Tamandua tetradactyla: one gene and its partners. The protein of the gene in region 2 purifies or fractionates together with the protein of the main gene of each other region. This does not show direct contact. Links are inferred from orthologs where the notes say so. Each region holds a gene or a part of one and is shown on either strand. Other genes may lie near its edges. The genes, in order: FAM168A, WWP2 and AMOTL1.

What was found.
Region 1: the proteins of WWP2 (region 2) and FAM168A purify together in Homo sapiens (affinity purification with mass spectrometry; 3 studies listed by BioGRID and IntAct, counting the BioPlex papers as one, with this or other methods). This does not show direct contact. The link is inferred for Tamandua tetradactyla from reciprocal best matches to the Homo sapiens genes WWP2 and FAM168A.
Region 3: the proteins of WWP2 (region 2) and AMOTL1 purify together in Homo sapiens (affinity purification with mass spectrometry; 3 studies listed by BioGRID and IntAct, counting the BioPlex papers as one, with this or other methods). This does not show direct contact. The link is inferred for Tamandua tetradactyla from reciprocal best matches to the Homo sapiens genes WWP2 and AMOTL1.

Annotation. Positions count from the first base shown.
Region 1 is NC_135334.1:72,427,010-72,430,950, reverse strand, and holds the start of FAM168A (protein FAM168A), read right to left. Parts: upstream 2,761-3,941; 5' UTR 2,497-2,760; intron 622-2,496; exon of another isoform or gene 533-621; intron 1-532.
Region 2 is NC_135342.1:63,874,547-63,878,487, reverse strand, and holds the start of WWP2 (NEDD4-like E3 ubiquitin-protein ligase WWP2), read right to left. Parts: upstream 2,643-3,941; 5' UTR 2,532-2,642; intron 1-2,531. UniProt on the Homo sapiens protein: E3 ubiquitin-protein ligase which accepts ubiquitin from an E2 ubiquitin-conjugating enzyme in the form of a thioester and then directly transfers the ubiquitin to targeted substrates.
Region 3 is NC_135334.1:48,227,394-48,231,334, forward strand, and holds the start of AMOTL1 (angiomotin-like protein 1), read right to left. Parts: upstream 2,459-3,941; 5' UTR 2,314-2,458; intron 1-2,313. UniProt on the Homo sapiens protein: Inhibits the Wnt/beta-catenin signaling pathway, probably by recruiting CTNNB1 to recycling endosomes and hence preventing its translocation to the nucleus.

The DNA of each region.
Region 1 (3,941 bases), on a different chromosome or scaffold from region 2:
AATTGTGAAAGCCAGGGAAAATGGTTTGCAAGCTGAATTTCGAAGTGTGAACAAAAATAAAAAAGATTTTAATCCAACTAGTGCCGATTTTATCCTTCCCCATTTTTTCTTAGTCTGAGCTCTAATCAATAGCCACTTCATGTTTTTAACATATCACAGTTAATATAATTACAGTCAGAAAACTATTTCTCTAAAGATGCTTCCTCCTTCAACCCCTCTCTATCTTCCATCATCACCATCCAGCATGGGAGTGAACATCACTAAGCTTTACATCAAATTTCTGATAAAGAAATGGAGATATTATTTCTGAGGTTAATGCAATGTGCCTACATCAACACCATCCCTTGAAATATAAAATAAAAATGACTCTATATGCTTATTTGGCTACATCTGACAAAATTCTGATCACCTGAATGTCCTGCAGGAGAAAAATCAAACTATAGAAATATAGTCCAATAATTTTAAATCTTATCAAGTAATGTCAAAAGAGAATCAAATGAAAAAAAAAACCATCACTACCAAACCGTCTTACCAATGAATATTTATGACATTTCCATATTTTCTGTCTTCTCTCTGTTTACATAAAGCAGTGGTGCCAAGGCTCATCTCAGGATTATTACCCTGCAATACAATGATGGGCCTAATTGCCTTGCAAACCAAGATACCAATAAATGGAGTCTTCAAGCAATCAATTTTAAAGGGGGGGGGGGTGGAGGCCCTAAGCGCTTTCTTTCCATATAAATGCACGCTGCTGATTAGAAAATAAATCCAGTCTCATATTTTTCAGTCCCATTCATCACTTCTCAAGCAAGGGACGCTCCCTTAACAACCTCAATCTCATCAAATCTATTTAAATTTAAAATTCCAGAACTAGTTCTTAAGAGCACCAGAGGAGGGGAAAAGAGAAAGCAGAGACATCATACAGAAAGATATTTATCACACTCCATTTCCATCTTCACCCACCTTTATTTGGGGGGTGGGTTTTTTTTCCTCCAACTTTCTTTTTGTGATATATGAACTAACAGAAAGAAAACACACACCCCCTTCCTTAATTCTACCCTAACAGAAACCCCTCTCAACTTCATCCTCTGGGTTGACTTCGCTTCCAAATATGATTCTAATAAAAATGAAACAAACAATAAGATCAAAGGCCTCTTAAGAGGTTCTCTAGGAATGTATCTTTAATGTACCACCTTCTCTGTTCCCTACAAAGCCTCCTATAAGAAACCTCTTAACCAACCACAGCCACCAAAGATGTCCATTTAAGTGTTCCAACCCCTAACCCTCTTGTGTCTCTTGGAGGCCCAACCCACCTCTTCCCAGCACTGCTCACTACCCCTTTCCATCTTCTGTGACCCATCTATTCCCACAACTCCAGGTCTTCCACTCTTTAAATTCCCCCTCTGCCGCCTCACCATCATCAACCACTGCTCTAGTCCAACCAGGTTATCTCAAACACTTCTCCAAAACTCCCTCTTCCACCTTGGCTAAAGGACATTTTCTTCAACATACCATTCCACAACCATGCTCACCACCTGCCACTATTCTTTCAGTGAGTCCAGCCCAGGCCCTTCTTCAGTGCCCTCTGCCTGGAACCTGCCCCCAGGGAGCCATCATGCCTCTTACAGTGGTTCAAAGATCACCCTAAATCCCAACCCACTATGCCTCCCTTCAATCTCAAAACCTGTCAGTCCATTTTGGACCTAACTTTCAATTTCCCTTCCTCCCGCCAGCTCACCATTACACTCCTCTTACTAAAAGCCTTACCCCTATCTGCAATTATTCCAACCTCCATCAGCCCACCCCAGGAAAAACTGAATTCCACCTCCTCTGCTCTATCCCAAGCCCTGCTATTCCATAAGTCACCACAAATTCCACCACCCCCAGGTGGCAAATGCCCACTCCGGTCTCAGATCTCAAACCTTGCCAGACCCTCAGCCCCAGCTCCTACCACCTCCATCAGCCTACCCCGGTCCACCCCACATTCCCTCCTCCTGAATTAACACGCTCCAGGGTCCAGTCCAAGCCCTGTACATCCCACAGTCTGTTGAATTCAAGTCCCTAACCCCCACCCAGCTAGGACCCCAAGCTGTCAACTGTTTCAGGCCAACCTCAAAACCACCACCTTCATTCAGCCCCCTCCCCCATTAAAGGCCACCCCACTTCAGTCTCATCTCCCACTTCTCCCCAAGGCCTTCCCAAATTCCAACCCCATGCGACTCCCACCTACGCTCCCGTCCCAACTAGGGTCATTCCCCATTAAAAGTCCCTTTCCCTCATCTTCCCCCACCGCACCCTGCTGGGTCCCACCCCCACCCCACCCCCAGTCCGCGCCTGGACAAATCTCCCTCGTCAGCCCGCCGTTCCAACGCGACCTCAGCCCCCTCCCCCCAACCCGCCCGGGGGCTCTGCAGCCCCCACCCTCATTTCCCCCAGTACCACCGGCCGGGGCTGAGGACGAGTGGACCCTGGAAGGGGGGAGGGGGGTTTCCTCACCAGCGAGAGGCTGCAGGCGAAAACGGGGGTGGCGGCGGCTGAGACGGCGATGTCCTTGTCTTTTCTGGCGGCTGTAGTGGCGACGCTCTCGCTTCCTCGCCCGTGTCCTGTAGGGTGGCGGATGGCGCGCAGGGTCCTGGAGCCTCCTCCTCAGCGACTCGGCTCTGAAACCTCTGCAGTAGCGGCCGAGGAGCCCGACGGGTGGGGGGAGGGGACGCTCGGCAGCGGGGCGAGGGAGGTGGAGGCGGAGGGAGGGGGCGGGAGACCGCTGAGATGGGCGGGGAAGGAGGAGCAAGCGCGGCGCCGCGACACGTCCCACGGTCTCAGCGCGCTAGGACCACAACTCCCAGCATTCCCCGCTCAACCTGCGAGCGGCCTACAGCCCTAGCGTCGCGCTCAGTGCAGAAGCACTGCGCCCTCCTTGGTCACGGACAATAGAATAACGTCAGCCATCCGCCGGCGGGTTTTGTAAACACAGTGACCATACGTCAGGGAAGTCAGGCTGTCCGGCAGCTTCATCTCCAAGTAAAGAATCTCGCGGTGTGTCCACGCGCCCCTCCCCCCGACACCCACTAGCGCACGCATATAGACGCGCACACCCACGCACAAACACACACGAATACAGCCACCCATGAACTACATTTCCCAGCATTCCACGCAGCCTCCGGCCCGCCTTCCGGATCTTTCTCAGACCCAATATTGCAGTTTGGAATAAGTGTGGCCCCTGCGAAATGCCGGGAGAGGCAGTTCTCATTTCTTCCCCCATGTTAAGAAAAAGAGGAAAACTGGAAGAAATATGCCAACCCAGCAAGGACAAGCCCAGATGGGCGAGATGACTTGTGAGTCTGTATTCTACTTGTCATTCCGGTTCACATGTCTAACACCAGGACTAATGCAGCAGCTTCGTCAGTGGTCTCCCAGCAAATCTTAGGACGATTTCGCAATTTGAATTTAAATGCAGAAAGGGTGTATTTCTTGACTCAGCTCCATTACTTTTAAAAACTTACCTTAGGGTGCACGGGTAGTTCGGTGATGAGAATTCCGGTCTTCCATGCTGGAGACCCGAGTTCGATTCCCGGACCGTGCACCGCCCCCCCCCCCCCAAAAAAAACTTAACCTTAAAAGGATGATCGAACATGAGGTTGTAGGGGTGTGGGGATAATGTATATGTCCATCAATAGAAGGTTGGTTAAATTATATATACATACAATAAAGTGCTAAGTCATTAAAAGTGATGGTATAGATCTATTTATTGACATGGAGAGCTTATTCACAATTCACTGTTGAGGAAACGTTGATTGCAAAATAGCATATTTAGAAGGGTCCGATTTATGCGAAGTTTGAAGTTGCTTCTTCTATAAGCATAGAGAGTTCAGGAAAGAGGTTCCCCTAAATATTATTGGTGATTGTCTTAGAGGGAAAGATGTCAGATTTCAAGTAATTTT
Region 2 (3,941 bases):
GCCCCCATTCAGCCATGTGGTTCCCTCTCTTACCTTTAGATCTTCTACTCAACTGTCACCTTCTCAGGCAGGCTTTTCTAAGCACCCTATTTAAAACTGCAACCCCACTGAACACTTCGCATCCCTCTTGTCTGCTTTATCACAATATAATATGCATCTTATCCATTTTCCTTTCCCCATTAACATTTCAGATCTGCAAGGGCAGGGATGGTTGCCTTTCTTATGTACCACTGTATTTCCCCGCAACTTAGAACAGTGCTATCTGGGGGCCACATATGTTAACTTCTTATTTTCTAGGAGCAACATTTTTAAAAATAAACAGTTGAGTAATTTATTTTAAAAAATTATAATAAACAATTTTAATAAATTTATTTACCCAGTAGATTCAAAATATTACCATTAATAGTATATATTTGTATCATAAATATAAAATATTTTTATATAAATCATTTCCATAAATTTTATATAAATGATTTCCATAAATGATTAATGGTAATTAATAGTATATATTTGTATCACTAATATAAAAATATCAATGATATATTCTTGGTTTTTCATACTAAATCTTCGAAATAGAATGTGCATTTATCTCAAGGGTTCAATAGCTGGTGGCCACTGTACTAGACAGTGCAACTCTACAATAATGCAAGGACCTATATCCATTGAATAACAGAATGTTTTCCCAGGAAGAAGAGGTAGTTATGACAAAGGATTTTCTATATAGTCTACAGTACTGATTTTTACTGTGATTATACTATTAATATTTTTTCTTAGAATGCCATTTTTTTAATATTTAAAAATAAAACTTAAAATCATCTCCATAAATGAAAAAGAACAGGTCTAGGGATAAAAAGCCTGCACTTGCCTCCCTACTGTGTCATTTACTAGCTCAGCATCAAACTTCACAGGCTTATGGTAGAAATTAAATGGGATATTTGCACAAAGTTCTTTGTAGATAGGGAAGGAGTCATTAAGTGGAAGAGACTGAGAAGCCAACCCTAGCCTTTCACCCATGTTTAGGGTTTTATTTCCAAATGGACCAACAACACATAAAAAGACAAGCATGTCTCGCAAGAGCTAAGATAGAAGACTTAAGTTAAAATCCTCTGTCTGCCACTTTCAGCAAGGTGACCTTTAGAAACTCATTCATTCATCACCTATTTACCAAGTGCCCACAATGTGCCAGGCACTAGGCTGGAAGCCAAATATATAAACCCTGTCCTTGAGGGATTTGCAGTCTAGTGGGGGAAAAGGGACCAGTAACAAGAAAACAAAAATTGTTAAAAATCGATTTGTCCCTCTCAGATCTTGTGAAATGTGAAATGGGACTAATATCTTCCCAACCTAACTCACAAGGTGACTACGAAAATTAATTTTTCAATGTTTGTCAAATACTCTACAACCTGAACTCATAATACATTAGCAAAGTTACTTTTTTTGTCCTACTTGTAATCTACGACAACTCTGGGTCCTGTGAATGTCCAGTTTAAACATTTACTCCAGTTATGCTGTATTCTTGAAACTTATTTCACTTTTGCAAATTTTAGTAAACATGAATAGAAAGAGGAGCTCGAGAAGCTTTAATACAGGTATCTAATCTCAAAACCATGATTCATAGGTCACGGTTCTAAGGAACACAACACAGACCTCTCAGCCACCCCAACTAGTTACAGTTTGTCAAGAAAAGTAGTCACATGGTAAGGGAAGCTGAATAATTTAAACCAAAGAAAGAAGCAAAGTCACAAAATGTGTAGGTAGACACTGCTCTGTCCAAGATTTCAGCAGTTGCGGGGGTAAATGCTGGACTAAGTCGCGGTCAACAGTTTCGACTGTCATTTTACAACGAGAGATAAGTACCCACATTTTTTTTTAAGTCTTAAAGATGACCTGATCTGGGAAAATCTCAAAGAAAGGTGATCTGAAGGGCTAGGTTCCCGAGAAGAAGAAACCCGATCCAAGCAGGACTAAGGGGGTGTGACGAAAGCAAGATGATCAAGATTCCGTGATCCCTCCTGAAGTTTTAAAAACTTAAAGGGACAGAAATCAAAGTCTCTGGTGACAATCCTTGCAAAAGAGAACGGAAGGAAGAGACTCTCAGATGAGGTTCAGGCAGCATCTGCTTCCATCTCTCCCTCTTTCCCTCCAAGCCAAATGCCCATTCACAGGCACCTCCTTCCAGTTCAGTCCCAAGTCCCCCCTTCCTCCTCTCCCGATCCCTCCACAAATGTCACACCTCTCCAGCCCCTGGCATCCGGGAAGATTCACTGCCTGCCGAACCCCTGGCTGCCTTTAGAGACCACCCCCGTGCAGCCCCCGCACGCGGCCCCCGGCGCGCCCACCCCGCACCGGCGGGAGCCGGGACACCCCTCCTCGGAGGCCGGAACCGCCACGCCAGGCCCCTCCCACAGGAAGCCGCCGCCCCCCGGAGCCCGGGCCGCGCCGCCCCAGGCCCAGCACTTGCCGCCGCTGACCGGGGCCCGACCCGCCAAGCCCGGCCGCCTTCCGGGCAGCCCTGCGCCCGCGCTCGCTACCTGCAGCGGCCACAGAAGCGGCGCCCAACTCCTCTCCCACTTCCGCCTTCCACCGACCGCACTCGAGCCGGGTCACGTGACCACGGGCGGTCACCTGACCCGGAAGAGGCTGGCCGGGTTTGCAGGTGTGGGCAGCCGGGCCTGGCCAGGAGCCTTTGGCCTGGGTAGCGCATTTTATTTTTGTGTTTTTAAAGTGGAGGGATTTTTTTTCACCTCCAAGATGCTCCCTGAGCAATCATAAATTGAGGGTCACTGAGGGCCAGGCGCTTCATTTTCTCCTCCCATCAAATCTTTGGGGGCGGGTACTATCATTTAACCCCATTTTACAGGTGAGAGGAGTTAATTCAATAGATGAAGTCAACAAATATTTATTGACCTCCATAGTAAGGTTGCCGGATAAAATACTAAAAAAAAGAAAAGAAAAGTATTCATTGTTTATCTGAAATTGAAATTTAATTGTGCAACTTGTATTTTACTCAGTAAATCTGATGATCCTGCACCTATTGTGTGCTAGGCACTGTTCTAGGCTCTAGAAACAAAAATCCCTGCCTTTGTGGAACATATGTTCTTGTGATATTGAACTAAAATAGAAAAGCTTCTTAAAAAACCCTGCTTGGGGGGTGCAAGTCTTCCTCGCAGGGTGGGAGATGACTCCCAGAGATGAATCCAGCCCTGGCACAGTGACATCAACAATACCATCCTAAACAAAAGGGAGAAAAGAAGTGTAACAAATAAGGTACCAGTGGCTGGGAGAGCTCAAATAAACTGGGGAGGCTACTCTGGAGGACACTGTTACGCAAGCTTCGGTTAGATATTGCTACCTACTATAACTTGCCAAACCCCAACCAAAACCATTCCAGCCAATCCTGAAGAATGCCTAGGGCATTTTATAAGATTCTGCAAAGGTTCCATGCACTAGGGTAACTTTCTAGCATCATCTTATTGGTAGCCTTCCTTATTTTTGGGGTGGTATTTCTAATGCTAATCTAAATTTTTGTAGTTTTTGGTTCTACTTGCTGCAGCATAGTTTATATGGTTTATCGCCTTTATAACTATTGTGTTTGTTTTTCAGATATCTATTTCTTTTTTTTATGGTGGTATTGAATCATGGCTGCAATTTCTTGGACACCCCTCCCATCAACAGTTGGAATTGATGCCCCCTCCCCTTGAATCTGGGTGGACTTGGGATTGCTTCATCCAATACAGTATGGAGAAAGTAATGCTGCATCACTTCTGAGGTTAAAACATGAAATACCATCTTGTCAGCTGAAACACTCTTGAAGCCCTGAGCTACCAGGTAAGAAGTAGTACTCCTTCCACGAGGCCACGATTCTGAAGAGGCCATGTGCAGGCTCCCTAGCTAACTGTCCCACATGAGCCCAGCCTTCTAGCTGTCACTGCCAGATGTGC
Region 3 (3,941 bases), on a different chromosome or scaffold from region 2:
AGATGATGTCCTTTGTGAAACTTAGTAAAACAAGTGTTAATGGGAGATTGTAGTATAGGTTCCAATATATTTAGTATTTTTCCATGCTGTATAAAAAAGTCAGGTAAAAAGGATCAAATTTCACAGAAGGTAGAGATACAGAATGTGGCCGTTTGAAGAAAAGCAGAAACTGAGAAGTAAAATGGAAAGGGCACAACTCTAGAGTTGGAAGATCTGAGTTTGAAGGTCAGCTCTGCTGCCATTAGCTGCACGAGCCTGTCTTAGTTAGCTTGCTTCTCAGATTCAGTTTCCTCATCTGTAAAATGGAGATAATAGCAACTATGTCACAGGATTTCAATGATGATTTTAAAAAAATGAAGTAACGTTCATGACAGTGCTTGGCACACATACCGCTCTCCGAAAATGTTAGCGTCCTTCCTTCTTGACTGATGTGAAAACTCTCCCTGACCTTGAGAGACACCAGAAGGGAAATCTGCTGCTTCCTGTTTTCATAACCATAATGGAAACAGTACCACTGGATTTCTACAATGCACCTGGCCCACCCTGCGAGGTTATGTTTCACAAACTTCCTGCCTCTCTCCTAATGAGGAATCTAAGCAGGTTGAGCCCCCTGGGAAGTGCAGATGACAGCAGGTTTCCGAGACAGCTGACTGAGCACATCTATTACAGGAAAAAGAAATGTTTTATGGACTCAGAGAGAAGAGTTGAGGACACCTCCCTGCCTGCACCAAATCCCCACACACATGATATGGCAGCTGGCAAATCAAAGGAGCAGCCAGATTGGCTTGTAATGCAACAGTCAGCAATGATCCTGGCCAAACAGTGTCCCTTCTGTTTCATGTGTTAGGGACTGCATATGACTCTGCATTTGGAAATGCATTTCAGACCTTTAAAACAAGTTTGAAAAACCATTGGCCCATGTCCTTGAGAGTAACTTGGTGTTTTGTATTTTTAGGAGTGTTGGAAGCAGGTGTGGCAGTGGGACTTTTCTTCAGAAATTCATTGTCACCTCCAGACATCCTGGGATCTCCCGAGCCAGCTTCCTGGAGGCTGTCCCACCCTAATGGCAGCCCAGAGATGCTCTGAAGATAACACAAAAGCAGATGCTGCGTGGACCTGCCTCAAGGCCTATGATTCACCAGGATGACTGAGTCTTTCTGGCAAATAATGCAACTCTCTGAAGACTGTATGAAGCCAAGAGCAAAAGCCCTGAGGCCTGGATGTTTCCAGGACTTTCCCTGGTACTCCACAGAAGTATAAACCTCGCTAGCCCACAGTAGGTCTCTGAGATCAGCAGCTGGTACTAGCCAGCAGTGGGGAGAGATGGGGCAGAGGCAAGGGTAGGTGGGGGGAAAGATGCTCAGAAGCAGGTGGGTCGAGGCTTTTGCAATGCCTGAGTTGGGATGGCTGTAGGAGGGACCTGTGGCTGGCTTGGATGAGAGTCCACTCATTGCAACATCACTGTTTGCTTCCTGGCCCTGCTCAAAGCCAAGTCTCTTCTATTGTGACAATGAAATAACCAGCAAAAATAGTTTGTAAGTAAAGCGCTGTAGTCTGAAACTGCAAAGGCAGAGTAAGGAATGTTAAGAAAGTAAATCGAGAGGCAATAGCCAAGGGTAGTTTGGGGTTAGACCTATCTAAAGTCAAATCCCAACTCTGCCACTTATCAGCTGAATGACCTTGTACTAGTTTCTCAGCCTCTTCAGGCTTATTCTCTTCATTCATTCATAAAATGAGAATAAAGTTGTTGTGAGACTTAACTGGGATTTAATACTGTTACATTAATAAGATAATAGACAAAGAAAAAGAAGAAAAGAATGGTAGGGGATCTGACCTACTTGGTATACACATACACATACATACATACAAATAAAAGGCTTAGCTTAATGTCAAGCAATAGTATACACCTAATAGATTATTTAATATATGTCTTTGTAATTCATCCAATTCTGACTTAGCTGTGACATATGGGCTTCCACTTGGTTTCTGAGCAGAAGTTTCCCCATCCCGCTTCAAGACTTCACCAGATTATCTGCTCTGATTTCTCATTTTGGTTACTTCATTTAGTTCTCTTAGAACCAAGAACTCTTTTGCCGAACTCTAGCCTAGGCTAGAATTCTGAAAATCCACCATAGTATCAACTGCTCAGAAGGATTTTCAAATTGATAAGAAATCACTGCACTCCCCCTACATATTACAAGATTGCCATGCTTTGCCATGGATACCTCCATCACTGCAGACCGATTGTCTGGAATGGTTTCCATTGCCTATCAGAACTAAGCTCCTCTGATAACTCCAGCACTTCATGATTACCTGAGAGCTGTGCCTCCCCGTCAGGCACATCAAGTCACAAGGCTGGTTCCCCTTCTGGCCAGCCATATCCCTAAAGATTGCAGTTCTGTGACATGGTAAACTCACAGAGGGATTGTGGTAATTCTGAGAGCTGGTCACAATTAGTAGTTTGTAGCCACTCTTGTTACATCATCCCTAAGGCTTCTTTCAGTTCTAAAATTCTATGACAGATGATTCTATTGCCTTGGTTACAAAAGTACCAGTGGAGAAACCACACCTACTTCCTTTCTCTCCTCTGCCTTCAAGCTTTGGCAAACAAGTCTGGAGTCACTAAGTGAAATGCTATAGGTGTGCTGAAAGTAAGCTGAAGAAATAAAGTGGTGCCAGAAATAGTTGTATAACCAGCTAGGCTGCCGCAGCCAATAAAAGTTCCCCAATGAAGGCATAGGTAAACAAAGGATGTGGTCCCACCATCCATCCATCCATCCATCCATCCATCAGCCTGCCAGCCATCAAGTACACACCAAGTATTTGCCAAGCTAAAGTCATAGGATGCAGAAATGAAAAACACCAGACCTCTGCCTCAAGATGTTCCCAGGCTGTTTAGGATGTAGACAGTCAAAGACAATGTTGTGAGTGCCATGGCAAAGGAATCTACACGACCTGTGGCAGGACTGAAGAGGACTCTTATTCAGACCAGGGTGGGGTGGGCAGGCAGCATGGACAGGAAAAGTCCCAGAACAGGTGAATTTAGCAGCAGCTTCAAGAAAAGTAAGAACAAATCAAGTAAAAAACATATAGCAGGAACAGCCTTTGCCAAGGGTGGGAATACCCAGTATGCCTGAGGATCCAGGGGCAGATCAGTATAGCAGGAGGGAAGAGGTTTGTCCCAGTGACGAGCAGGGAGATGAGTCTGGAGAGGGAAGCGGAGGTCAGATCAGGAAGTGTGTGTGTTAAGCAAAGGAGGTTCAATTTTATTCCATGGGCTGTGAAGTGGTACTGACCTAGCCTCTAAAATATGTGGAGATACTGTCTAGTCTGGCAGCATGACAGGGCAAGGAGTGAACTTTTGTTGGTTTTTGGCTGGATAGCAGCCACAGCCCCTCTTTCAGATTATTCATTCTTCCCTTTGGAGAAGTGCAGTAGCCTTGGTTGGAAGATAGACCCTGGAGAATTAAAGATGTTCTGTGTTAGTTGATGTATGTTACCCATTTAGAGATGGGGCACAGCAGATGGTATAGTCTGGTGACCTCCATGTTTTCTGGCTCACTCTTTTATTCCCAGAGTTTGGCATATAATAGATGCTCAGTAATGCTTGTTGAGTAGATGAATGAACAACAAGCAAATGGGAGGCATATCCTTACTAGAAACCTATGAGCACATTAACCTCAGGGGCTTTGATCTCCTCATCCATGAAACAACTTCTACCACCACAGTACATCTCTGTTAGAATTGGGGAATGGGGATGGAGCTGAACCCTCAGGCTTGACAGCAGACCACAGGGTCAAGGGTTGTGATTCTTCATCTGTGCAGTTAGCTCCAGAAAAGTAATAGGCCAGCATCTTTATCATTTAATACTGTTACATTAATTGGATAATAAGCGAAGAAAAAGAAGCAAAGAACGGTAGGAAGCTAACCTACTTGGTTTT